7 linked regions of the Macaca mulatta genome follow. The protein of the gene in region 4 interacts with the protein of the main gene of each other region in a pairwise test. Links are inferred from orthologs where the notes say so. Each region holds a gene or a part of one and is shown on either strand. Other genes may lie near its edges. The genes, in order: DACH1, STAC3, FXR2, C1H1orf35, SRRM4, THAP1 and CEP70.

Evidence for each region.
Region 1: the proteins of C1H1orf35 (region 4) and DACH1 interact in binary tests that used the Homo sapiens proteins (3 or more experiments, as listed by UniProt). The two-hybrid records come from large-scale screens. The link is inferred for Macaca mulatta from reciprocal best matches to the Homo sapiens genes C1orf35 and DACH1.
Region 2: the proteins of C1H1orf35 (region 4) and STAC3 interact in binary tests that used the Homo sapiens proteins (3 or more experiments, as listed by UniProt). The two-hybrid records come from large-scale screens. The link is inferred for Macaca mulatta from reciprocal best matches to the Homo sapiens genes C1orf35 and STAC3.
Region 3: the proteins of C1H1orf35 (region 4) and FXR2 interact in binary tests that used the Homo sapiens proteins (3 or more experiments, as listed by UniProt). The two-hybrid records come from large-scale screens. The link is inferred for Macaca mulatta from reciprocal best matches to the Homo sapiens genes C1orf35 and FXR2.
Region 5: the proteins of C1H1orf35 (region 4) and SRRM4 interact in binary tests that used the Homo sapiens proteins (3 or more experiments, as listed by UniProt). The link is inferred for Macaca mulatta from reciprocal best matches to the Homo sapiens genes C1orf35 and SRRM4.
Region 6: the proteins of C1H1orf35 (region 4) and THAP1 interact in binary tests that used the Homo sapiens proteins (3 or more experiments, as listed by UniProt). The two-hybrid records come from large-scale screens. The link is inferred for Macaca mulatta from reciprocal best matches to the Homo sapiens genes C1orf35 and THAP1.
Region 7: the proteins of C1H1orf35 (region 4) and CEP70 interact in binary tests that used the Homo sapiens proteins (3 or more experiments, as listed by UniProt). The two-hybrid records come from large-scale screens. The link is inferred for Macaca mulatta from reciprocal best matches to the Homo sapiens genes C1orf35 and CEP70.

Annotation. Positions count from the first base shown.
Region 1 is NC_133422.1:66,324,247-66,327,746, reverse strand, and holds part of DACH1 (dachshund homolog 1), read left to right. Parts: intron 1-1,685; coding exon 1,686-1,841; intron 1,842-2,245; coding exon 2,246-2,418; intron 2,419-3,500. UniProt on the Homo sapiens protein: Transcription factor that is involved in regulation of organogenesis. Seems to be a regulator of SIX1, SIX6 and probably SIX5.
Region 2 is NC_133416.1:64,405,861-64,408,788, reverse strand, and holds part of STAC3 (SH3 and cysteine-rich domain-containing protein 3), read left to right. Parts: coding exon 1-46; intron 47-941; coding exon 942-1,039; intron 1,040-2,928. UniProt on the Homo sapiens protein: Required for normal excitation-contraction coupling in skeletal muscle and for normal muscle contraction in response to membrane depolarization. Required for normal Ca(2+) release from the sarcplasmic reticulum, which ultimately leads to muscle contraction.
Region 3 is NC_133421.1:9,095,700-9,099,199, reverse strand, and holds part of FXR2 (RNA-binding protein FXR2), read left to right. Parts: intron 1-1,867; exon of another isoform or gene 1,868-1,944; coding exon of another isoform or gene 1,945-1,950; intron 1,951-2,169; coding exon 2,170-2,222; intron 2,223-2,581; coding exon 2,582-2,675; intron 2,676-3,500. UniProt on the Homo sapiens protein: mRNA-binding protein that acts as a regulator of mRNAs translation and/or stability, and which is required for adult hippocampal neurogenesis. Specifically binds to AU-rich elements (AREs) in the 3'-UTR of target mRNAs.
Region 4 is NC_133406.1:85,852,808-85,856,841, reverse strand, and holds C1H1orf35 (multiple myeloma tumor-associated protein 2), read left to right. Parts: upstream 1-1,234; 5' UTR 1,235-1,329; coding exon 1,330-1,423; intron 1,424-1,503; coding exon 1,504-1,654; intron 1,655-1,864; coding exon 1,865-1,910; intron 1,911-1,992; coding exon 1,993-2,075; intron 2,076-2,160; coding exon 2,161-2,233; intron 2,234-2,377; coding exon 2,378-2,463; intron 2,464-3,066; coding exon 3,067-3,201; intron 3,202-3,281; coding exon 3,282-3,402; 3' UTR 3,403-3,722; downstream 3,723-4,034.
Region 5 is NC_133416.1:126,266,866-126,270,877, reverse strand, and holds the start of SRRM4 (serine/arginine repetitive matrix protein 4), read right to left. Parts: upstream 2,801-4,012; 5' UTR 2,403-2,800; coding exon 2,272-2,402; intron 1-2,271. UniProt on the Homo sapiens protein: Splicing factor specifically required for neural cell differentiation.
Region 6 is NC_133413.1:44,941,713-44,945,952, reverse strand, and holds the start of THAP1 (THAP domain-containing protein 1), read left to right. Parts: upstream 1-1,440; 5' UTR 1,441-1,660; coding exon 1,661-1,731; intron 1,732-1,857; exon of another isoform or gene 1,858-2,011; coding exon of another isoform or gene 2,012-2,061; intron 2,062-4,240. UniProt on the Homo sapiens protein: DNA-binding transcription regulator that regulates endothelial cell proliferation and G1/S cell-cycle progression.
Region 7 is NC_133407.1:41,506,304-41,509,803, forward strand, and holds part of CEP70 (centrosomal protein of 70 kDa), read right to left. Parts: intron 2,720-3,500; coding exon 2,549-2,719; intron 1,498-2,548; exon of another isoform or gene 1,304-1,497; intron 1,031-1,303; exon of another isoform or gene 914-1,030; intron 1-913.

The sequences.
Region 1 (3,500 bases), on a different chromosome or scaffold from region 4:
GAAAATTACTTATTATTTCTTACTTTCCAGCACAATTTTTATATTAAAATAATATTTATTCCAAAGCATGATTTCTATATCCCGATAGTCAGTTTTAACTGATAACATACAAGGTAAAATCAATGCTGAATCATAACATTTGACCAAATCAGATCCCACAGATTTTGGGAATTAAGCCTGCAATAAAAAATTGCATGTACTTTGATAAAGGCAATGTAAAGAGAAGATGTTTACAATGTTTTATAATAATAATCTCTTGATAGCATACATTTGAAAAATTCATCTATTTATAGTTCTTGCATGTTTGACTAGTACCTTAGAATAAGTGTCAAAAAAGTTATGAGAACAGAAATAAGGTGTATAAATTTGTGAATATGAAAAGAACTTTTATATCACAGTGTAGGAGCAAGCTGGAGAAATTTCATTTATGTGAGTCGTTTCTGCATAAAGCTATAAACTTTTTTAAAACCAAAAGCTGTCATGGTTTCTTGTAAAATAATAAAGATAATAAAGATATCCATTTTAATTGATTCTTTTCATTGTTTAATAAAATTGCTTTGTTTGATTGCTGAAGAATTTGAATTGAGTTTTCATTACCCACTTCTGAACAATTTACTCTAAGATCCAGACAGTATTGAGCTAATGAGTTTGAATTTATATTGAACCTTAACTGTCTTCATGAAGTAAATGGGAAAAAATCATGGCAGTAACTAAGTATTCTTCATTAAGAACTATGTCATAGAGATTTTACAATGAGGCTTTTAGCAGAGTTTAAGCATCAAATTGGAGTTTTACCAACTCTGCTGTTTCTATGCATATTATATGAAAATATGGTTTCTTTTTTTAAGAAATAAAAAAGTCATGAGCTAATAGAGATATTACAGAAATTTCCTCTAAGTGGATAGTTTGTATTTTCAACAGATTCAGTTAAGGAATAAATTAATATTGAATTAATTTAATTTGAGAGCACATTGAAATTGAAATGATTTATAAACACCTTCCAAGGAGTATTCTAATAAGGTATTTCGTGAGCTTTTAAAATCCAAGGAATTGCCACCAATGTTGAAATGCAGGTCCTCAGTTGAGTGACATTGACATGGAGACATAAATGTATATTTCTCTTTATTGAAAACAAGTGATGTATTTATTCATACAAATATGCATGCATATTTAATTTTTGCTTTGGCATTATATTCTATAAAGTGATCTTTTGTGTTCTCTGTACAATGTCTAACCAAGCTGGACATTTAATGGCTCCATTTTTAGGATTTGCTGTGTAATGAAGTTAGGCACTTTATTTGATGCCTAGGATGTCATTTACTACAAGGATAACTTTGCATTCTATAAATATTAGTGTGTTTCAATTCCAAGGAGTAATTAATTATCTAGTTAATATAATAGAGACAATTTAATATTAAGCTGGATAGCCAACACAGTATTAGACTCCACCACTAGGTTAAATGTTGCAGAAATACTATTTTTTAAAATTTTGAGATCCTATATAAGAAACAGAAAATCAAAAAGAATGTGCAGCTTAGGGGAAATTTACTTACCTCAGCTTATTTCCCTAGAAATCAGTTTTCCAACTCCAAATGTGATATATTTTTTAAAACGTCATTTTAAATTAGTCGTTTTAAGATTTGGAATAATATTATATCCAAGTAATTTATATTCATTCCCCACAGGCAGCAGTGATGGTTCCTGGGATAAGGAAACACTGCCCTCTTCCCCATCCCAGGGACCTCAGGCCTCTGTAACCCAGCCCCGCTTGCCTGGAGCACGTAGCCTTCCACTTAGTCATCCTCTCAACCATCTTCAGCAGAGCCACCTTCTGCCAAATGGTACGATGGCATTTTTTAGCATTAAAAAATCGTAGTTTTAAAAATTGTAATTATCAGTTGGCAAAATAAGACATAATACAGAGATATACTATATTTACATAACTAATTGGGATAAGTTAAAGAACACCCTAGTATTTTAAGCAAGATTCAGACAGATTACAGGAATAATATAGCAAAGAATTGACCATTTGTATTAAACACAGGAAAAGTTAGGAAATGAAAAACCATGGGACCAAACCAAATAGCTATAAGCCTAGTTTCTCTGAGTAGTGAGTGAAATTTTTGCATACGAAGAGGAAAAATATTTTTTCTTTGACTATCATTATTAGAAAACTTTTGAATGTTTCAATTTTTAATGATTTATGCCCTCCAGAGCAATGATGATATATGTGCATTTTTTATAGGACTGGAACTTCCTTTTATGATGATGCCCCACCCTCTAATTCCTGTCAGCCTACCTCCAGCGTCTGTCACCATGGCAATGAGCCAGATGAACCACCTCAGCACCATTGCAAATATGGCTGCAGCAGCACAAGTTCAGAGTCCCCCATCCAGAGTGGAGACATCAGTTATTAAGGTAATTCTTTTTTTATACAATTATTTTGGCATGTTCATCTTAAGCCACCATCTATTAATCCATTTTTCTTATTCCATAAGTACATTTGAACTCTAAAAAGCTAAGTGATAGTAAATAGATTATTTAAAGAGTAGCAAGTGGCCCCAGGGGCACACTACTTACTTAGGCAGGCTAGGGTTGCTTTAAATTCTCTATATATCTATTAAGATAGAGAAAAACATAGGACATTAAATGTTATAGTTCAAATTGTCTGTGTTCTTACATGGGTAGTTGTGTGTATGTGTGTGTGGTGTTATGAGCATTTATGTGAGGAGAATCAGAAGCCCAGAAGGGATAAATTCTGCCACTTTCTAGCTCTGTCACCTTAGACATGTAATTCAATCTTCCTGATTCTAGTAAATATCTAATAAAGGCATAATCTAGTGTGGATTATTTTGTGAAAACTAAATGAAGTAATAAAATTGGAAGTTTCCACACATTCAAAAATACACTAAATTGAAGGTAACATTATTGTTATATAAACTTCATATGTGCATATATACACAATTCTGTCTCCTCTATCCCTGTGAATCTGTGTGTGTATGTGTGTGAATTGTATGAGTTTATATATATATATATGTATATATAATCTTTTTCCTTTATATTATTTTAAAATGTGTACTTAAATCAAATTATTTTAAGTGCATTGTCTGATTGGCCAAGGAGTAAGAAATAACAAAAAATTAAGAATAGATTATTGATTTTTAAACTAAGTAAAAGATATTTTATGCTTCATGATCATTATTTGACATTACAATTATCCCATTTTTCTGAATACAATACACTTAAATTTTAGGGTAGCCTCTGGAGCACATCTTATGTAAAAGGCCCTGTTACTACTTACATACAATGTTGAGTAATATGCAAATAGGAATTTTTCTCATGTTAAAGGCTCTAAAAACAAAGATATGTCCCAGATGCTTTGAGCAGTTTCTGTAGTATCAATACCAGAGGAAAAATAACCCAAAGTCTCACAGAAGACCCGGATCAACTACTCAAAGATCGCCACCTGAGAGAACGCCAGTGAGTGCCACATTGATCTC
Region 2 (2,928 bases), on a different chromosome or scaffold from region 4:
TCCCCACTCTACAGCAACCAGCAGTACGCTTGTATCAAAGATCTCTGTAAGTGCCCTTTATGGAACATGAGGGAATGGGCAAGCCTAGAGATGGTTTCATGCCATCTCTAGCTTTGGAAGCCAAATTCTGAAACAGAAACTTTCTATTTCCCATAATTCTCCCTCAACCTAACATTTTTATATCCATTTGGATGCAGAGGCAATATCCCCATTTTACAGCAGAGGGAGATAAGATTTAGTTGCAACTACATACGGTTAGCAAGAGGTAGCGCCAAGACTGGAATCTTCAGTTGCTAGCTTCAGAATCTGTGCTCTTCATGTGCAAAATCATTTCTAAGCAAGAACAAGGATTCTAGATTGTCCTCATCCTTACTACAGAGTCATACCAGACTTGGGGCAAGACCTAAAGGCTGCAGGCACCCTGGGCATGTTCATAATTTGGCAACCCTTAAAAGTATATTCATTGACAAATTTGCTCAACATTTATTTGGAGCAGAGGCTGAACTCTGTGAAGAGCATGGGTGAAAAAGAAGAACCTATTGGTGGCAGCACCTCAGCTTACACATGCCATTCAGCAGAACAAAAACCAGAAGTTAAGGGCCCATTCTCCTTAGAAGGAGAATAGTGATTCTGAGCATGTCTCAACTCCCAAGCAACCAAAGTTGTCTTTCAAACGTCATATAATGCTCTGCCTGGAAGGAGTTCTGATAAATACTTTTCTCCCTCACATTACATCACCAGTGATGTTTTTAGAGTCCTTTCTAGATCGGTGTCCTAGGTATTGCTCAGCTGACCCTTCCCTAATCTTCCCCCACGGCGCCCCCACTGCCACCCAGCACACACATGGGTATCCATCTACTCGATCCTGCCTTTCGCTTCCTTTCCTCCAAGCCTTTCTCTGCCTCCCCAATAATGTCTTCTTTCTCCTCCAATTTGATTAGCTGCTGCCAATCGCAATGACCCTGTGTTTGAAACCCTGCGCACTGGGGTGATCATGGCAAACAAGGAACGGAAGAAGGGACAGGCAGATAAAAAAAATGTGAGCACTGTACCTCCCCACGAGGTCCCTCCCAGAGATCCCATGGAGCAGGTCATTTTCCCATTTGGGAAGCTGACAGAAGTAATGGATTATCTTCCCCTAAAATTGCACATAACCCGACCAGGCATGGTGGCTCATGCCTGTAATCCCAGCACTTTGGAAGGCCAGGGCGGGTGTATCATGAAGCCAGGAGATCAAGACCATCCTGGCCAACATGGTGAAACCTCGTCTTTACTAAAAATACAAAAATTAGCCAGGCATGGTTGTGTGTAATCCCAGCTACTCGGGAGGCTGAGGCAAGAGAATCACTTGAACCCAGGAGGCGGAGGTTGCAGTGAGCTGAAATCACACCACTGCACTCTAGCCTGGGTGACAGAGCAAGACTCCATCTCAAAAAAAAAAAAAAAAAAAAAAAGGCCGGGTGAGGTGGCTCACGCCTGTAATCCCAGCACTTTGGGAGGCCAAGGCGGGTGGATTACCTGAGGTCAGGAGTTTGAGACCAGCCTGGCCAACATGGTGAAACCCCGTCTCTACTAAAAATACAAAAATTAGCCAGGTGTGGTAGCACACGCCTGTAATCCCAGCTACTTGGGAGGCTGAGGCAGGAGAATTGCTTGAGCCCAGGAGGCGGAGGTTGCAGTGAGCCGAGATTGTGCCACTGCACTCCAGCCTAGCCGACAGAGTGAGATTCTGTCTCAAAAAAAAAAAAAAAGAAAAGAAAAAGAAAAAAAAATTGCACATAACCCAACAGAAATATTTTTGCATGCAATTTTAGGGGGTTTTGGGACCTACTGCAGCTCACTCACCATGGGCCTCTGGTTAAGAACTCTAGCCATAGATTACGTTTTCTCAGCTTCCTTCTGAAATAGTCAGATTAGCCACTACAACCACATGAAGGCTAGGCCCAAAGTCTTTGGCATTGCTGGGTGACAGAGGCAAGAGCTGTGCTTTTGGATGTAGGAAAGAGAACTTGTCATGCCAAGTAACTGGAGAATTCTAGAGCCATGCAAGGATCCATGAAGATCATCTGGTCTGACCCATTCATTTTACAGATGATGAAACTGAGGCACAAAGCTACTGGCCAAGATAAACCTCATTTCCTTTTGTAACAGGGTTTCTAGGTTAGTAATGCCATAGATTTGCATTCAGTTCAGCATGGAATTTGTTAGAATATTCTTATATCTTTCTGGACAACCAGGGTTGGACCAGTATGGATGATGGTTACAGTTAGATGGACTCCTAAAATTGGTTGAGTGGCAGTACTCAGAGTCCAGGTCCTTTCAGTATTATACAGCTAGAGGGAGATTTCTGGTGCGTTATAACATGATTTAGATATAATGAAGATACAAATTGTATGTTCATGCCGGGTGCGGTGGCTCACGCCTGTAATCCCAGCACTTTGGGACGCCAAGGTGGGCAGATTACTTGAGGTCAGGAGTTCGAAACCTGCCTGGCCAACATGGTGAAACCCTGTCTCTACTGAAAACACACACACACACACACACACACACTATATATATATATATATATATATATATATATATATATATATATCCAGGGCGTGGTGGCACTCACTTGTAATCCCAGCTACTTGGGAGGCTGAGGCAGGAGAATCGCTTGAACCCGGGAGGCAGAGGTTGCAGTGAGCCACTGCACTTCACACTTCAGCCTGAGGGAGAAAGCAAGACCTTGTCTCAAAAAAAAAAAAAGAAAGAAAGAAAAGAAAAGATAAATGTACATATTTGTTCTTGATCAAAAAATCACCTGCAAAAAACAGAACTAGAAATCTGGCCTCAGACTTGTTGATATGGAGGTTGGGCACAGATAAGGGATTTCTATGGAGTGAATTCTGACTTACAAGGCACTAGCAGTGTGATTTGGCTGCTTCC
Region 3 (3,500 bases), on a different chromosome or scaffold from region 4:
ACCCCATCTCTACTAAAAAGTACAAAAAACTAGCCGGGACAAAAAACTAGCCGGGCAAGGTGGCGGACGCCTGTAGTCCCAGCTATTTGGGAGGGGGAGGCAGGAGAGTGGCGTAAACCCGGGAGGCGGAACTTGCAGTGAGCTGAAATCCGGGCACTGCACTCCAGCCTGGGCGATACAGCGAGACTCCGTCTCAAAAAAAAAAAAAAATAAATAAATAAAAATATGTTTTAAAAAAAGAGGCCAGGCACAATGGTTCATACCTGTAATCCCAGCACTTTGGGAGGCTGAGGCGGGTGGATCAGGTCGGGAGTTTGAGACCAGTCTGACCAACATGGAGAAACCCTGTCTCTACTAAAAATACAAAATTAGCTGAGCATGGTGGCACATGCCTGTAATCCCAGCTACTTGGGAGGCTGAGGCAGAATTGCTTGAACCTGGGAGGCGGAGGTTGCGGTGAGCCAAAATTGCACCATTGCACTCCAGCCTGGGCAACAAGAGCAAAACTCTGTCTCAAAAAAAATAAATAAAAATTAAAAAATTTAAAAAACGTTGATCAATACCTCACTTTATATGTAAAACTTAATTCAAAATGGATTATAGGGCTAGGCACAGTGGCTCACATCTGTAATCCCAGCTTTGGGAGGCCGAGGCGGGTGGATCAACTGAGGTCAGGAGTTCGCGACGAGCCTGGCCAACATGGTAAAACCCCATATCTACTAAAAATATGAAAAATTAGCCTGGTATGGTGGCGGTTGCCTGTAACCTTAGCTACTCGAGAGGCTGAGGCAGGAGAATTGCTTGAACCCAGGGGGTGGATGTTGCAGTGGGCCAAGAGATTGTGCCATTGCACTCTAGCCTGGGTGACAGAGTGAGACTCTGTCTAAAAATAAAGGAGTATAGATGTAAATGTAAAACAAAAAACTAAAAGTTTAAGAAGACATAAGGGAAAACCTTTGTGGCCTTGGATTAGGCAAAGATTTCTTTTTTCTTTTTTTTGAGATGGAGTTTTGCTCTTGTCGCCCAGCCTGGAGTGCAATAGCACGATCTTGGCTCACTGCAACCTCTGACTCTCAGGTTCAGGTGATTCTCTTTCCTCAGCCTCCCAAGTAGCTGGGATTACAGGCATGCACTACCATGCCTGGCTAAGTTTTATATTTTTAGTAGAGATGGGGTTTCACCATGTTGGCCAGGCTGGTCTCGAACTCCTGACCTCAGATGATCGGCCTGCCTTGTCTCCCAAAGTGCTGGGATTACAGGTGTGAGCCACTGTGCCTGGCCTGGGCAAAGATTTCTTAGATATGAAACCAAAAGCACAGTTGATAAAATAATAAATTCATAAGCTAGACCTTTTTCAAAATTAGAAATCCCTAATTGTATGTGACAAATAGGGGGAAGGTAGAAAAATTGGGAGCGCAGGGGTGAACTCATGGCTTTGGCCTCCTTAGTGAGGACATAGACCACAGGAGATGGATCAGCTGTTCAGTCGTCCCTGTTCCTCTTGTCATAATATCAAGTTTGGAGTCTTCCATACATTTTGTTATCCTTTATAAATTTTCAGTGTCATTCTAGATTCAATTCTAGTATTAAAAAACTCTGATGTATTTTAAGTCTTAATTTTTCCTTCTGTAAATTGTGTTCATCACAATTTTGAACTTGTCTAGTGTTCTGATTATTGTCTTAGGACCCATGCATCAGGGCAGCGAGTCTGCTCAGATCTCTTGCTGTATTGCGGAGGTAGGCCTTTCTCTCTCTTGACAGATCCTCATGTCCTCTAGGTGTTCCAGGACAGCCTCACACTGTCTCATGGGATATTCTTAGCCTTGCTGAATGTTGTTGGTATTTTAATTGAACTCTGGCAGGCTGCTCAGCACAACAGGAGGCAGACAGATAGGGAGGCCCCTGTGGGAGCCTGAGTAGATCACCGGTTTCCAGGCTGTTCTGATGCAGGTGGTACATACACCTCTCCATGACAATATAATTTCCTTTCTCTGTCTGACTGCCCATATTCTTTCCCCAGTGCAGCCTTTCAGGCTCTCTCATTACACCACTTGTGTCCCTATCTAAAACTCAAGTTTAAGGGTTTGTGGTGTCTCTATTCCCTTGGTGGCTAAGGTGGAAGTAAAAGGTCATTTTATATTTTTTACTTTTTTCTAAAATCCATTCTAGGGCTTTGTGAAGGATGTCCATGAAGACTCTGTCACCATCTTCTTTGAAAACAAGTAAGACCTTGGGAATAGAGAATCCAGCATACTAGGTCCTAGAAGGAGAGTGGAGAAGAGGGGGCGGCTGAGTCCTATGAGGCATGTAATAGGTGGGGAGACCTGAGGGTTTGGGTGGGGAACTTACATGGATCCCAGGAGAGGAAAGGGCTGAGAATTTGGTGAGGGCGGGGGCGTTTGGCCCAGTATTTAGAGTCTAGAAAGAGATGGATGGCACCACTATGGAGCAGGACCTGGGGGTTAGCCTCTGATTATCCAGATAGGTGGGAATCGCCCAGCCGAGGCAATAACCCTTTTGTAAAGAAATGGGCAACCGTATCAGTCAGAGTAGCTTTTTCATATTCTTGTTTCTCTTACAGCTGGCAGAGTGAGAGACAAATTCCTTTTGGAGATGTCCGACTACCACCTCCAGCTGACTATAATAAGGAGATCACAGAAGGGGATGAAGTGGAGGTAAGGGCTGTGGAGTACACCCTTTCTAAATGTCACGTTTTCCCAGGATTCTAGGCTTTTCTCTGGTTGGTTCATATTCCTTCCTCCCCAACTAAACCATATCCAGCCACTAAGTCATTTCCATAGGCTACATGCCTGTGGAAATGTAAAATGCAACAGTTCCCCTTTCATCACTGTTATGATCAGCCAAACTCTGAGGGACATCCCCAGTTTCAGGGGATTTGCCTTCCATTTGTGGTAACAGCATCTAAAATCCAGTGTGCGCTGATTTTTTTTTTTTTTTTTTTTGAGATGGAGTCTCGCTCTGTCGCCCAGGCTGGAGTGCGGTGGCCGGATCTCAGCTCACTGCAAGCTCCGCCTCCCGGGTTCAAGCGATTCTCCTGCCTCAGCCTCCCGAGTAGCTGGGACTACAGGCGCCCGCCACCTCGCCCGGCTAGTTTTTTGTACTTTTTAGTAGAGACGGGGTTTCACCGTGTTAGCCAGGATGGTCTCGATCTCCTGACCTCATGGTCCGCCTGTCTCGGCCTCCCAAAGTGCTGGGATTACAGGCTTGAGCCACCGTGCCCGGCTTTTTTTTTTTTTTTTTTTCAGATGGAGTCTCGCTCTGTTGCCCAGGCTGGAGTGCAGTGGTGCAATCTTGGCTTACTACAACCTCCACCTCTCGGTTTCAAGCAATTCTTCCACCTCAGCCCCCCAAGTAGCTGGGATTACAGGCACTTGCCATCATGCCTGGCTAATTTTTGTATTTTTGCAGAGACGAGGTTTTACCATGTTGGCCAGGCTAGTCTTTTTCTTTTTTTTTTTTTTTTTGAGACGGAGTCTCGC
Region 4 (4,034 bases):
TTAAGGAATCTGGCTCAGGCTGGGTCCAGTTTCTTTCTGTGTTTTGAGCAACAACCTAGATGCTGTCATCTGTGCCTGGGAACGTTCATGGCTATGGCTCAGGTTCAAGTCTGCAGACGAAATTATACCGTTGGCGAGGTCACAGAGCGGCTAAGGGACTCTGCTTCTTGGTCACCACTGGGAATGAAAGTGGAAAGGTGAAGCAGGGGGATGCCACAACCTCCAAAATCAGGGTGCCCATCATGCTGAGGTTCTGGGAAGGGGTCTCTTCCAGACTACAGACTTCCCGCTGCCTTCGCACAGTGGAAAGCTGCACAAAGCTCTCGGGTCTCTTTTATGAAGGCTCTGTCGTCATGACCTAGTCACCTCCGAAGCACCAACGCCTTGGGTTGGGGATTTCACGTGGGAGTTAGGGTGCACATTCAGTTTACCACGGCAAGGATGGGACCAGTGCTCTGAGGGTGTCTGGGTAGCTGCTGGTTCATCCAGAAGTTTACTGGGTAATACTCAGAAATTCCACAAATCATTAGGGCATTACCTTGTTAAGCTCCCCATATGGAATCGCGGCTGGCAGTGACCAATTGGCGGTGTTAGCTAGGCGCATCCTGTGTGTTTTCTTTTTTTATGAGACAGGGTCTCGTTCACTCGCTCAGGTTGGAGCGCAGTGGCGCGATCTCCTGGGCTCAAGAGATCCTCCCGCCTCAGCCTCAAAGCGTTGGGACTACAGGCGCGCAAGCAAGCGCGCGCCCGGCCCATTTTAACTTTTTTTTTTTTTGAGACAGAGTCTCGCTCTGTCGCCCAGGCTGGAGTGCAGTGGCGCGATCTCGGCTCACTGCAACCCCGCCTCCCGGTTCAAGTAATTCTCCTGCCTCAGCCTCCTGGGTAGCTGGGATTACAAGTGTGCACCACCACACCCGGCTAATTTTTGTATTTTAGTAGAGACGGGGTTTCACCATGTTGGCTAGGCTAGTCTGGAATTCCCGACCTCAAGCGATCCGCCTGCCTGGGCCTCCCAAAGTGCTGCGGGAGCCACAGCGCCCAGGCCGGTTTTAACCATTTTTAAACGTACAGTTCAGAGGCGTTCCCGCGCTGGGCAGGATAGGCGCAGTGCGCAGGCGCCCAAAGCCTGCTTGAAGGTGACGCGCGGGAGCACAGAGCCGGGGCGGTGCGCTGCGCAGGCGCGCGGGGCGAAGCCGGGTGGGCGCCGGGTGACGTCACGGCGCGCGACGCGAAGGCGGGGTCGGGCCTGGGTCCTACGGTAGTGGGTACAGAGGGTCCGGGGTTGCGGGTCGCAGGCCGCAGGCCCCAGGGAACTGCCTCCCGGGCGCCATGTTCGGTTCCAGTCGCGGAGGCGTGCGCGGCGGGCAGGACCAGTTCAACTGGGAGGACGTGAAGACTGACAAGCAGCGGGAGAACTACCTGGGTCCGTGGGCGCGGTGGGCGCGGTGGGCGCGGCGGGCGGCCTCCCGGGGGGCGCTGGGCTCACGGCGCCTACGTCCGCAGGCAACTCGCTGATGGCGCCCGTAGGCCGCTGGCAGAAGGGCCGCGACCTCACCTGGTACGCCAAGGGCCGGGCGCCGTGCGCGGGCCCGAGCCGCGAGGAGGAACTGGCAGCAGTGCGGGAGGCGGAGCGGGAGGCGCTGCTGGCCGCCCTGTGAGTGTCCGCGGACATCAGCGGTCGGTGCTTGGGACTTCGCTGCCGGGGCAGGGTGGGGCCAGGGGCGGGGGCTGGGGGTCGGGCTGGGCGGGGGCGGGGCTGCGGGGACTTGCGCGGGTGGGACCCTCAGGATGAAGGCTGGAGTGGTGAGGACCCGTGGTGGGAGGAGGTCTGTCCGTCCTGACGCCTGCTCTGGTCCTCTCGCAGTGGCTACAAGAACGTGAAGAAGCAGCCCACGGGCCTGAGCAAGGAGGTAACTCCCTGGAGTGGGGGGCACGTGGAGGGCCGTGGGTGTGGGGCCGTCCGGAACGCTGCCTGTGCTCCCGCACCTGCAGGATTTCGCGGAGGTCTGCAAGCGGGAAGGAGGCGACCCGGAGGAGAAGGGCGTGGACCGGCTGCTGGGGCTGGGGAGCGCCAGGTGCGAGCAGGTTTCCAGGGGAGGGCAGAATTGCTCGGGTGAGGCGGGCCCTTGACGGACTGTCTTCATCGCCGTGTTCCTGCAGTGGCTCCGTGGGCCGCGTGGCGATGTCCCGAGAGGACAAGGAAGCCGCCAAACTGGGGCTGTCTGTGTTCACGGTAATTCCCCGCCCCGCCTGACCGCAACAGGGGCCAACAGGGGTGGCGCAGGGCGGGGGCACTGAACGTAGCTCCCCGGGGCGCTGCGGGGCGTGGTGTGGGGCCGGCCCTCAGACTCTTCCCCAGAGCGCGATTCTCCCGCAGCATCACCGCGTAGAGAGCGGCGGGCCCGGGACCTCGGCAACCTCGGCCAGGAGGAAGCCGCGGGCGGAGGATCAGACGGAAAGCAGGTGAGGCTGCACCTACTGGGCGAGCTGCGCGCCGGAGGGGGTCTCGGGAGGACCTCAGCGGCTCCCGCTCCGGCAGGTGGCAGCTTCTCTTGGCGCACCGGCCCGGCCGGTGGCCTGCCCTACTTTACTTCCTGTCCCACTTACTCCTAGGTTTTTCTCTAGGGGAGTTTCTCGGGTCACCCTTGAAGAGAGGTCCTAAGTACTGGCAGTGGTCGCGGGCTGCGCCGTGGGAGGGCGCTCAGGACCTGCGGCGGGGCCTTTTCCTTCCATGGGTGGCACCTCCAGGGCTTCTCTTGGGTGGTGAGCCTGGGCCTGACCCCAAGAGTGGCCTGGTGGGTGCAAGTAGGAAGGTGTCAACCTGTCAAGGGCACAGCTGGGGTGTAACAGGGCCGTGCTGTGGAGATAGGGATATCGCATCAGTTTCTAACCCAGGGCAGCCACTGGCCACGTGACTGCATTACTGAGGAGTGGAATTGGTAGTCTGATTTAACTGATTTAAAGACGCACTTGTGGGTGGTGGCTTCATCTCCTGGTTGGGGTCTGTGTTCACTCTCTTGGCCTGCAAGACTAGGGTCTGAGGTGCGCCTTGTATCCTCCTTGTAGCTCTGAGAGCCACAGGAAAAGCAAGAAGGAGAAGAAGAAAAAGAAAAAGAAGAAACACAAGAAAGAGAAGAAGAAGAAAGACAAAGAGCACAGGCAGCCAGCTGAGGCTGCCTCCTCTCCCACATCTCCCGAGAGGTATGCCCTGGTCTGTGTCTGCCTCTTGTGGGTGGGAGCCTGGTTGACTCCTTCTGAGTGACTGCCCTTGGTCTCCCCAGGCCCAGGCACCACCACGACTCCTATTCCAACTCCCCCTGTTGTAAGAGGAGGAAGCGGGGACACAGTGGGGACAGGAGAAGTCCGTCTCGCAGGTGGCATGACAGAGGCTCTGAGGCCTGATGGCTGGACCCTGCTCACTGCTATTGTGGGACCCTGAACTCTCCCTTTGCCTTGCTTGCCTCCTGCCTCGGAAGCCCCTCGTGTGTGGGTGAAGCCCGGGGCTGCTCCTGTGGAAGTGGCTCTGGGCACCAGCCTGTGGGGCTAATGGCTAGACAGCTAGCTCTGGAAAACCTCCAGGTTTCACATAGCGGGGATGGTCCCTGGCTTGCCCTGTGAAGGTGAACCTGCCCAGAGGTACCAGTAGAAGCTGGACTCCCTCTGCCAGTAGAGACAGCAGCCATGGGCCTATGAGCGGTCTAACTGTGGCCAAGTATGGTGACCTCTATTTTTCCTTACATTGACTCTTTGTATTTCAATAAATATATTTTAAAAGGAAGGTGTATCATCCTAATTGGAAGGTCAGTGTCGAGTTAAATGAGATCCCACTGGGAGGTTGGAGCTGGGGTCTGTCTTCCAGGAGTCTGAGGCCTGGTGATTTTTTTTTTTTTTTTAGTTTCGCTTTTGTTTCCCAGGCTGGAGTGTAATGGCACTATCTCAGCTCACTGCAACCTCTGCCTCCCAGGTTCAAGCGATTCTCCTGTCAACCTCCTGAGTAGCTGGAATTACAGGCGCCTGCCACTACTCCCAGCTAA
Region 5 (4,012 bases), on a different chromosome or scaffold from region 4:
ACCCTTAAGTAAGTGTGGAATGTTGAAAAGGAAGTGGAAATTGAATGTCACTGGATGTGGCTGCCTTGGGTGAGAATGGGGATGATTCAGGTTTTATCTGGTCTGTTAAAAGACAACTCCAATCCAACCTTTCCTGAGGACTTGGAAACAAATGTTCCCTCCTCACTCTCTACCCCAAACCGGGAGTAACAGTTATAAAACTGGAATCTGTTCTACAGAGAGGCCACGCCTATTACAGAAGTATTACACAGGATTCTCCTAGCATGACATAAATCGAGGGCTTATGGCTCAGGCTTTCACCCCAGGGGTGGTTTCTACGGCAAAGAAGACCCACGACATGAAAAGGCACCAAGAGTGAAATGATACTGGTTGCAGAGGGGGAGTGGAGTATTATAAAAGTCTCAAAAGGATTACATTAGAATTAGCAAAAAGCTGCAGAAAGCGTGAGGGTTGAAAGACCTTGTGCACCATTCATGTGATTGCAAATATGACCAAGAAAAGGGCAGGAAAGTAACAGACAGACAGACAAAAGTGGAAAGTACCAAGCAAGGTGGACATTAGGTGTGCTTTCTTGAATCAAAACACCACCAGGAATCCGCTTTCCTCTCCCCGTACCCCTAAAATAGATGGAAGACTCTGGACTAAATGTCATACTTCTAGTTTCCAGTGAAATTTCCTCTAGTTCCTTCTACAAGGGCATTTTCTTTGGCCAGTGCAGCACCTGATTAGCCAACAGTAGGTACATTCCAAAGGTGGAATAGATAGCAGAAACCCAGGAAGATAAAACCACTGACGTCAAAACTCTATACAAAGAACCTTCTTTGAAGCAGCGAAGCATCAGCTTTTAACGGCATTTGGTATTGTTGTTCCCCTTCTCCAGCCTGTGTCGGTGGGTGGGTGTGTGTCCCCTTCTTCCCATCTGCAAACACTGGCTGGTGCTGCTTCAGCTTGCAGCCTGCTACACGCTACTGGCCTGTTGTGTTGCTTGTCCACCCATTCCTAAAATGGGATACCCATTTCTCTAAAGACCTGTGTGATCCTCTACAAGACGGTGAAGAGGAAAACTTCTCCAGTCTGGCTTTGATTCTTCAGGCGTAATTCCCCATACATCTTCCACCTTACACCCACTGGAAAGTTCAGAATCAGTTGTGCCAGAACAGACGTTCAGTCTGTCCGAATCACTTTTGCAGACATGTTTTCAATCTGCTCCCTAATGCAGACTGCCAGGATTAATAAATCTTCCAAGTGGTCCCCCTGGTCAACTTCTTTCCTTTCTCCCACTAAACCACTCATCCAACACCAGCAAAAGATGAGTTTTCATACTGCCTTGATTTTCCCTGACAGAAGGCACAGCCTTCTTCCTTTCATTCTCAAACTCCTCTAAATTGAATGATTTATGAAAAGAATTGGATTTTTCTCTGTCTTGGAATGCTTCTATTTTCCCCCAACCTCCTCTCCCTCTCACCCCACCTCCTGTTCCCCTCTTTCTTTCATTTTTTCCCTTATTCTTCCTTCCATCAGCACCATGTCTACCACCATCCAAGGATCTGTTCTCATCCCTGAGTTCAAAGCAATCAGATTCTTTTTGGAAAAAAAACAAAAAAGAAAAACAAAATAAAACTCTTCCAAGATCATCTTCACGATCTTGGAAGGCTCCTCCCTGACTCCTGAGCTCAGAGTCTTGGTTTTGGATGCTGGAGAGGAGAGAATTCAGCAGCAGCGGCAGCAGCCGCCAGAAAGGCGTGGAGGAGGGTGCTGTTTTGGGTGTATTTGAGGCAACAGCATATGGGCTTTTGTCAAAAATGTTCAAAGCTCGCTAGCTTCCGAGCCGAGGATGGAAATGTGTGCTATCTCTGAACGCTGCTTGAGCTGGCTTAATTCTCCTTTTCTGGTACAACACCCCCCAAACTCCTCAAATCCACCATTCTTTGGCCCACCTGCCCTCTGGACTCTGTGACACCAAGAAAAGTTTTTCAGTCAAGTCATACCCCACCTGCACCGTCCACCCTCAGGTAGCAAAACCTCTTGAATAGGAGCTACGGGGTTCCGCTGAGCGTTGCCCCCCCCCCCACAAAGAATTCCTGTCCCTTCTCACCATCTTCCACCTCACACAAGCAATGAGTTCCCATGTTTCAGCGGGAGCCGCCGAGTAGTGACGGGAAAAGACAGGCGCCCTGGCCCGACTGCCTGCATCCACCCCTCCGGGCTATAGGGCACAGGCCAGAAAGGGGGACCTTCGGGATCCCCCCCTTTTAAGAAGGAGATCATTACCTTGGCAGCGGCTTGCGGGCCGTGATACTGGCGACAATGATGCTCTCGGGACGGGGGGTGGCCACCGCTTTGAAGGTTCCTCGCCAGAACTTCTCAAAAAGCTGCTTCTCGCCTTGCTGAACGCTCGCCATCGCCAACCCAAAGAGGCCGGGGCGCCCGGGGCGCTGTCCGAAGTGCTGAAACGTGGATTCCAAACAGGGGCGACACCCAGCTCCGGGCTCTGTCCGGGTGAAACCCAGAGAGGGGTGGGGTGGGAGAGATCGGAGTTCAGGGCGGGGGATGGGACGCCCCAGTCCGAGCAGGCAGCAGAGAAAGGAGGCTCGTCCGCCGGGTTTTCTTCGCCCTTCTGGGTCGGCTCCTGGCTGCGCTCTGAGCTGGCTGAGCCTCTGCGCCCCAAGAAGGGAAGGGAGGGCTGGCTTTCTGGGCAGCGCCAGGAGAGAAGAGGCGACGGGGTCGGATGTGTGTGCGTGCGCGTGTGAGCTCCGGCGCGCCCGGGTTTTGTCTCTCGCACAATGTGACGTTGGAAGAGGAGGCTGGTCGCGCGAGCTGCACTTTCCTCCCCTCTCTCCGTTTCTCCTCCTCCCCACCAACCCCCTCCTCCTCAGGCTCAGCCTCCTGCCGCCATCTGCATAACAAAAGCCCGCAGGTCTTGGGAGGAGAAAGGGCGGGGCGTGCGCCTGTCACCAGGGCCCCGCAGCGACCGAGTTGCAGCGCTGACCACTGTGAGAAGCCATCCTGGCACCCCAATCTGCGCCAGGCAGGAGATCCTGCTTCCCAGGCCCCTCTCCTCTTCCATCATCGCCGGCCTTCCTCAGTCCTTTCTTGGGTGCCCTTGGGGCCAGGCCACCTTTCTTCCCAGCCCCTTCACAAGTCTTGTAGCTGATCTTCTGCCGGGGTGGGGGAGGGGCGGGGGGAAGGGGGTAAAAAACTTAATTTATCCACCCCGGCCGGCCTCCACCGGACCCTCGCTTTTGGCAGAGACGGCCTAGGCCGGTACAGAGGGTCCCCTGCGTTCCTCTTTGAGCCAGGGGTTAGCAAGGTCTTCACCACCCAGAAAGTGCCATTTGATCGACAATCCCTCACCAGTTCGGCTTCTCGCCATCTGCCGAGCCGGGCCCCCGCCCGCCAAGGGGCGCAGCGTTACATCTGTGCATGCGGAGCTGTCAAGGGTACCTCTTTTGTGTTTCACAGCCGGCCTGCCCAGCGCCCCCGCCGCCAACCCCGTCCAAAGGAAAGAGTTCCCCTCCCACCCCACCCCACCCCACCCCACCCCACCCCCATCCACTCCTGGGGAATCCGCCTGCAGCCACTTTTCCTAATGCCGCTAGTCTCGGGAAAGGAGCATGTTTTGGAAAAGAAAGCGCTTAATGGGAGGGTTGGAGAGGAAAATCTCGAGGATTAGCAAGGGGAGAGTTACTTTTCGTTCTCTCCTCCCCATCTTCTTACCGCCTCGCAGTTCAATCGTAATCCCAAGCAAGTGGAGGTTTAGAATCCCAGATCAACCCCAGACACACAGGATCTGGTTAGAATGACTCTTGCTTCCCCCCCAGGGTTTTCATTATAAAAAAAGATATCGTGGCGGGACCCCTCAGCCCTTGCCTTCCTGGAAGGCTTTTAATCTTAGCAGAGTTGCTACTCCCCCATCTCCCACCTAACGCCGCCCCACCCCGGCTTCCACTTTCCAGGTTGTCAATTCCTGGAAGGAGGCCTCAATCAGTCTTAAAGGCCTTCAAGCCCCTGG
Region 6 (4,240 bases), on a different chromosome or scaffold from region 4:
AAAGATCATGGGGACATGTGCTGTGCTACAAGGGTTTGTGATAAAGGATTAATTACTATATTATGTAAGAATCGATATCTTTATTTATTTATGAGACAGAGTCTTACTCTTGTCGCCCAGGCTGGAGTGCAGTGGTGCAAGCACGGCTCACTGCAACCTCCGCCTTCCCAGATTCAAGCGATTCTCCTGCCTCAGCCTCCAGAGTAGCTGAGATTCGAGGCATGTGCCAACCACACCCGGTTAATTTTTGTATTTTTAGTAGAGACGGGTTTCACCATGTTAGCCAGGCTAGTCTTAAACTCCTGACCTCAAGTGATCCGCCCGCCTCAGCCTTCCAAAGTGCTCGGATTACAGGCGTGAGGCACTGTGCCCAGTCCATTATTATCTTTAAAGCAAAATTAGGAATGCTTCTGTTCTCAAAATATCGAGATATCTGGACACTTCGAAGTCTGGGTCTGTTTAGTAAACATTATCAATCTGTTGCCTTAATGGTATACATCTAGAGGCTAGGAACACCTAACTTTCCGGGAATGCAGCCCAGCAAGTCCCAGCCTCATTTTCCTAGCCCTCACTCAACACAGAGTCGCTCTATTTCGAACCCCTCTGACATATTCTCTCTCAGATGTGAAAACTGCTGCAGCAGCTCCCTATTTGCAACACCGCACATGGAAATCACAGCAATGGACAGCCCTTCACAAAAGCTTCTGGGGAGGGAGGGCCTGGTGGCTCAACTCCCGTAATCCCAACCCACTGGGAGGTCGAGATAGGTGGATCCCTTCAGCTCGAGTTCTAGACTGGCCTGGGCAACGTGGGGAGATCCTGCCTCTATTTTTTTAAAAAATTACATATATATATATACACACACACGTATATATGCATACATATATACATATATATAATGCTTCTGCGTTGGCAATTCAGATGATTTGGCGAGTGTGTCTTTTTTCATTGCTAAAAACCTGTCACGTTGGCTCTCAGAGACTTGTGATGCCTGAAGACACAGGTAATGGGAAAAAGATCAGCATTCTGGGAAAAGGTTCCACAATTTTATTAATCATACACCATCTGTGTCCGCCCTTTTAGAGAAATGGGCGCAATCAGACAACGACCTCGGCTTTACACCTGTTCTCCATGAGGCCCTAGTTGTTTCCTACTGTAAGCCGCCCCAGAAAAGCTCCGCATCAATTAACCCACGGGAACAGCCCGGGCTGGATGATGCCCCTGGAATCCAGCCTCCCGCCGCGCCTCCTCCCCCGCAAGCTGTTCCTTCCTGCCTACCGGAAGTTCAGGGCTCCGCCCACTTCCGCAACTCTGAAGCCACCGCCGGAAACACCTGGCCTCAGCCAATAGTTAGCTTCCCAGGAATCGTTACCTCTGACCTCGGGGCTAATCAGAGACAGTGGGACGCACCCCTCGCGAGAGGTGAGGTTGAAGCTGCCTCCGCCATCTTGGAGATGGGAGACGGGCGATGGCTGTGGTCCTTCTGCTAATGCAAACAACAAAACGGGCACACTAGTCACCCCAGAGGGAGGCCACCATTACTGTAACTGTTGGCCAAAGCTACAAAAGAGCGAGGGTGTCCAACCGAGCGCGGCGACACTGAAAGCAGCTTCCCCTGCCTTCTGCGGCGGCAGAAGTGAAGTGCCTGAAGACCGGAAGGATGGTGCAGTCCTGCTCCGCCTACGGCTGCAAGAACCGCTACGACAAGGACAAGCCCGTTTCTTTCCACAAGTGAGGACCCTGCGCGCCTCGCGGGGCCGGTCTTAGCCAGGGTGGGGGCGCGCGACCGGCGGGGCCGGGGGCGGAGCCAGGCGCGTGTCCGCGCGAGGGGCGGGTGGGGTCTGGGGCCGGCCGCGCGAGGCGTTTCCCGCCGCGTCCTGCTGGGAACCGTCGCCCGATCGCGCGTTCTCGGCGCGCGTCTCCGCGGCGGTTGTTTCTTGCGCTCTCGGAACAGGTCCTCGTTGCAGGCTTCGCTCCAGGCCTCGGTTGACGAGTTTGGAGCCCGCGGGCGATGCCTATGGTGGCGCGGGTTTTGCCGCCACCAGGGTCACGAGCAGCCAGGTGTTGTAATAACGTCTTAGGGGTAAATTTGAAATATAAACAAAGGCCTTTCCCTTGTCGTGGATGGGAGGCCAGCATCGTAGCAATTAAGGGTTTTTTGGCTGGGAAATCCCGGAGAATTTTTGCCCCAAATCTCTAGGAACTAAGCTTTAAGGACCCTGAGTTTTGAAGAAAGCTTCAGGTACTGCCAAGATAAATCGTTATCTTTTCAGCACACAATAATGATAATATGGATAGTTACAACATGGATCATAATAAAATGACTCACACTGATCTTTATTTATTACGGCATTACCTGTGCATAGAGGAAGCTCTTTCGAAAGAAACTGCCCCACAGCTTTCAGAGCTGTCTTATCCAATAGGTAGCACAGTTAAGAGTGCTAGGATCAAAAATATTCTCTTGAAAATAGGAAAAAAAGTGCAAAGTTGCAATTACTTATGATAATCAAACGCTTGTAAAATGTGACATAACATTCAGCTGAATTTGTTTACAAATTTTAATTACATTTATGTTAAGTTTTCTTTGTAAGAATTCCTGACAACTATATGCAGATGATAGCTAAGAAATCAGATCCAGGGGTAAACTATACAAATTAGTCATAGGTAATTAGCTAATTATCTTTTATAATTAGGTAATTACAAAAGCAAAATGTTAAATATCCTTTCAATTTTTTTATTTTGGTGTGGAGCCATCTATGTTTACTAGGGGAGTGTCCATGCATTTTTTAAGTGTTTGATATCATGTGAGATGGACCCTATAGAAATAAGAGAGTGTAGAACATAGGTCTCCAGAGTAATGATGTTACCCCTTGGCGAAGGGGGTAGAACACTTACAGGATTCAGTTCAGGATATCCTAATATTGTCTCTTAATTTAATTGGAATTTCTGTAAACATGTTCTTTCGAAATGTAGGAAAAGGTCAGGTGATGGTAACAGGATTACATGTGCAGCTCCCCACCCACATTTCTGATGGCATGGCAGAAGGAATCTAAAATTATGGAAAATGTTTCACTGGCACTGGAAACAAGTTTAAGGAGGGTATTCACACGTCAGAAATAACTGTGTTTTTGGCCAGGCACAGTGGCTCATGCCTGTAATTCTCAGCACTTAGGGAGGCCTAGGTGGGCAGATCACCTGACGTCAGGATTCAAGACCAGCCTGGCCAACATGGCAAAATCCCGTCTCTACTAAAAATACAAAATACAGGCGTACGCCTGTAATCCTAGCTACCTGGGAGGCTGAGGTAGGGGAATCGCTTGAACCTGGGATATGGAGGTTGCAGTGAGCTGAGATCTTGCCCTGCACTCCAGCTTGGGTAACAGAGCCAGACTCCATGTCAAAAAAAAAAAAAAAAGAGAGAAATAACTGTTTCTGCTAGGTGTTAAACACATACGGATTGAATCAAAAGAAGAGCTAACCTGCATCTTATCCCTTATCTAAAAGAGCAGGTTTAGGGAGAGTAGATGGGAAAGATTTTAACAGAATCTCACAAACAGCTGTAAATTTGTGGTCCTTGTGCCAGGAGGCCCTAGGTACTGACTGAATTTTAGCAGCAAATGCTACCATAGTTTATGCTTACAGAGCCAGGAGGCCATAGGTACGGAATTTTACCAGCAAATGCCACCCTAGTTTATACGTATAGAGGCCATTTCCAGCTGAGATTTTCTTCTTCTCTTTTTGAGATGGAGTCTTGCTCTGTCACCAGGCTGGAGTGCAGTGGCACGATCTCGACTCACTGCAACCTCTGCCTCCCCGGTTCAAGCGATTCGCCTCAGCCTTCTGAGTAGCTGGGACTACAGGCGCGCAACACCACGCCCAGCTAATTTTTTTTTTTTTTTTTTTTTTTTTGAGACGGAGTCTGGCTCTGTCGCCTGGGCTAGAGTGCAGTGGCCGGATCTCAGCTCACTGCAAGCTCCGCCCCCCGGGTTTACGCCATTCTCCTGCCTCAGCCTCCCGAGTAGCTGGGACTACAGGCGCCCGCCGCCTCGCCCGGCTAGTTTTTTGTATTTTTTAGTAGAGACGGGGTTTCACCGTGTTCGCCAGGATGGTCTCGATCTCCTGACCTCGTGATCCGCCCGTCTCGGCCTCCCAAAGTGCTGGGATTACAGTTGTGATTACAGGCCACGCCCAGCCCCAGCTGAGATTTTCTAGGAGTACCACTTATCCCACCGTCTGCATA
Region 7 (3,500 bases), on a different chromosome or scaffold from region 4:
TACTACCATGGGCCAGCCTACCGTGTATGTCTGGCCTCTGAAGCACTAGAGAATAGGAAAGCGAAAGTATTCAAGAGTGTACTGGGTTGGGGAAAGCTACAACATCTGTAGTTTACCTTTCTTGGAAAGGCAGGAGGGAAAAGACACAAGGATGGAGGCGGCTGGCTCCATGTCTTTCCCAGCCTTCTTTTCTTCCAATTTTTAAAACTAGTAAAATACACATAAAATTTACCATCTTAACCATTTTTAAATGTAAGTTCAGTGTTATTAAATATGTTCATAATGTTGTGCAACCAACACCACCATCCATCTCCATAACTCTTTTCATCTTGTAACACTGAAACTTTATACCCATTAAACAATAACTTCCCATTTCCCTCCTCCCTCTAGCAATCACCACTCTACTTTGTCTCTATGATTTTCACTAAGTATCTCATATAAGTGGAATTATATAAGTGGAATCTTCTTGTGACTTATTTCACTTAGCATAATGTCCTCCTAATGTTCACCCATGTTGCATGGGTCAGAATTTCTTTTCTTTTAATGGCTGAATAATATTGCAATATATGTATATACCACATTTTGCTTATCCACTCATTCCTCAAACCTATCCTACTCTTTAAAGCCAAATTAAACTGAGCGAAAAAACTAATAAGGGAAGATGGTTGTCCCAAACTTAGAGGTTGTTACATATCAAATAACCTTTAATATGAGGCCTCAGAGAATCTCATGCAGTTTCTTAATTTGGACCCTGAAACTGTAGTATTAATATCTGAAGCACTGCTCAAAACCCATGAGTTACTCCAAAGGCAGAAGTAACTAATTCTTAATAATTTCCTCTTGGGTGTCCTCAGAATATTCTAATTATAAAGTGAATTCCTTGCCTCCTCCTACTCAGAAAACTATACAATAGCAAGAACTCACCACCACGGCAAAGCCTTTCTTGGGGGCTATAATCAGAGTGTTCTCTTTCTCCTCCAGACTCTAGAGCACAAGTTATCTGCATCATTCACTCAGAACTTCATCACAGGTAATCTATTTTTATGTCACTCATTTCTTTTAATGGTATCATAAATGATTACATTTTGTTTCATATTTTTAAGTATATTTTGTCTCTCTAATTAGTGTGAATCTTGTGTTCATCCCATAATGGCTTAGCATGATAAATGTTTCATATTTTTAAGTATATTTTGTCTCTCTAATTAGTGTGAATCTTGTGTTCATCCCATAATGGCTTAGCATGATAAATGATCAATAATTATCCATTAATGTGATTCTTCCCTTTGTCTTCTTCCTCTTCTAGTCTTTTCTTCTAGGAAGGTTAGGGCTTTTTCTAGTCCTTCCCTTCTGAGAAGGAGAAAGGTGGAGTCAGCACTGTTCCCTCCTACTGGGAGAACCCTCTGACAGGCAATGATTGAGGAAATACCATGATTTACATGATTACTAATTATTTTACACTCTTCTGAGATACAGACTGGAGGAACTCCGGCCTATAAAGTAAGTATATTAATCCAGCACTGTCACTCAATCAAAATGTTTGTGTATTATGTAGCTCTGTCTGAGCCCTATATAAAAAGGCAAGTAGAAATTTTAAAAAAATTAACATCACCACCCCCAATTTTGTTGTCTTGGGATATATTATTCTGCTTCATTCCTTTAACAAATATTAATTGAGCACTCGTTCATCAGGAGGATCTTGGGGACATATCAGAACAAATAAAAACACTGTCTTCGGGGAGCTTATACATTCTTAACAGATATCTTCTGCATCACTTGTACTTCATGTAATAAGACTTCTGTTGCAAACACTATTATTGAATCACATTTTCATTAACAGGCGTATGCTATGTATTATATTAGTTACTAAGAAATCTAAAGTTTAAAGGGCAAAGAAGTTAAATACTACTGATTTCAACTATTTACCTTTCAGCAAACTAGTTAAAACTGAAAAAACCTGAAACCATGCAATACACAATAACTCTATAAAGTAAATAAAATGTAGTCTTCCATGAATAGATAGGATAGGGAAGGGTAGGGTTGGCTGCTAGCTTACTATCTGTTCTAGAGAATAAGCAGAAATGGAGACAAGCTCAGTTCTGAGAGACAGAAAATAAAGTGTGAAGAGAGAGAAAATATCCCCAATTATAACGAAATGAAGGATAAGACATTATATCTGAAGAGGAATAAGGGCCAGGAAAATCGTAGCATGGACATACCAAAAGGAGGCAGATGAAGGTAGAACAGGGAAAAGCCTGGAAGTACAAAGTGGATCCACTATAGATTTTCAATAAGGAAATTAACCCAAAAATTTCTTGTTTGGTAGAGCCTTAGAGGAAGTAAAGCTTACAGTAATGACAACATCAAAACAGTACGTAAAATAGATATGTAAGTAGGAAGATTTCAGTTTTAGATAAGTTTTTTTAGCTTTACAGTTAACAAACAAAAAATTAAACCCTATTTAATTTCTAGCCCTAAATTAAGTCCTATAAATAAAGCACATAGAGTCCAATAGATGTTCAAAGCATATAAAGAATAGTCAACCCCTTACCTTTAAGGATGTCAGTTGATCTGCCCACATTTCTATTATAGGAACAAGATGCTCAAATCCACAATCTTGAATAAGATCTTTATTAAAATTTTGGGCTCCCCCTTTGCTCTGTTTATAAATTATTACTGGAGCTCTTGGATTGTGGATAATTGAATTGATGCTACATAGCACCTTTAAAAAAAACATAGTGTATTTAGTCAAAATATTTATCCTATGCCTACAAAGTTATATATTTTAAAGGAGTGCTTTATGTCTATATATATTATATACATGCATTTCATTAAATATACAAAGAATTATCACAAGGAATTGGTTCATGCAATTATGAAGACTGACAAGTCTCAAGATTTGCAGAGAGTAAGTGAAGACCCAGAAAAGCTAATGGATATTTGCAGTCCAAACACAGGCAGACTGAGACCCCTGCAAGTGCGAATGTTTCAGTTTGAGTCTGAAGGCAGGAAAAAAAAGTGTCCCATCTTGAAAGCAGTCAGCGGGGAGGAGTTCCCTCTTATTCAGCCTTTTGTTCTACTCAGGCCTTCAAATGATTGGATGAGGCCTACCCCATTAGGAAAGGCAGTTTGCTTCACTAAGTCTACTGATTCAGATGTCAATCTCATCCAGAAGCATCTTCCCAGACACACATCCAGAATAATGTTTAACCAAATATTGGGCATCCTATGCCACAGTAAAGTTGAAACAAAATTAACTAATACAAACACCCATATAATCACTACCTAGGTTCAACAATTGTTAGTATTGTGCCATATTTGCTATCTATATTTTGAGGTGAACCATTTGAAGAAACTCTGCACCCTGAAATAATAAAGCGTGCATCTTTTAAAAGTAGGCATATTCTCCTACAAACCCACAAGACCGTTATCAGACTATTTAAGGAAATTAACAGTAATCCCCAGGCTTAGTATGGTGGCTCATGCCTGTAATCCCAGGTTGA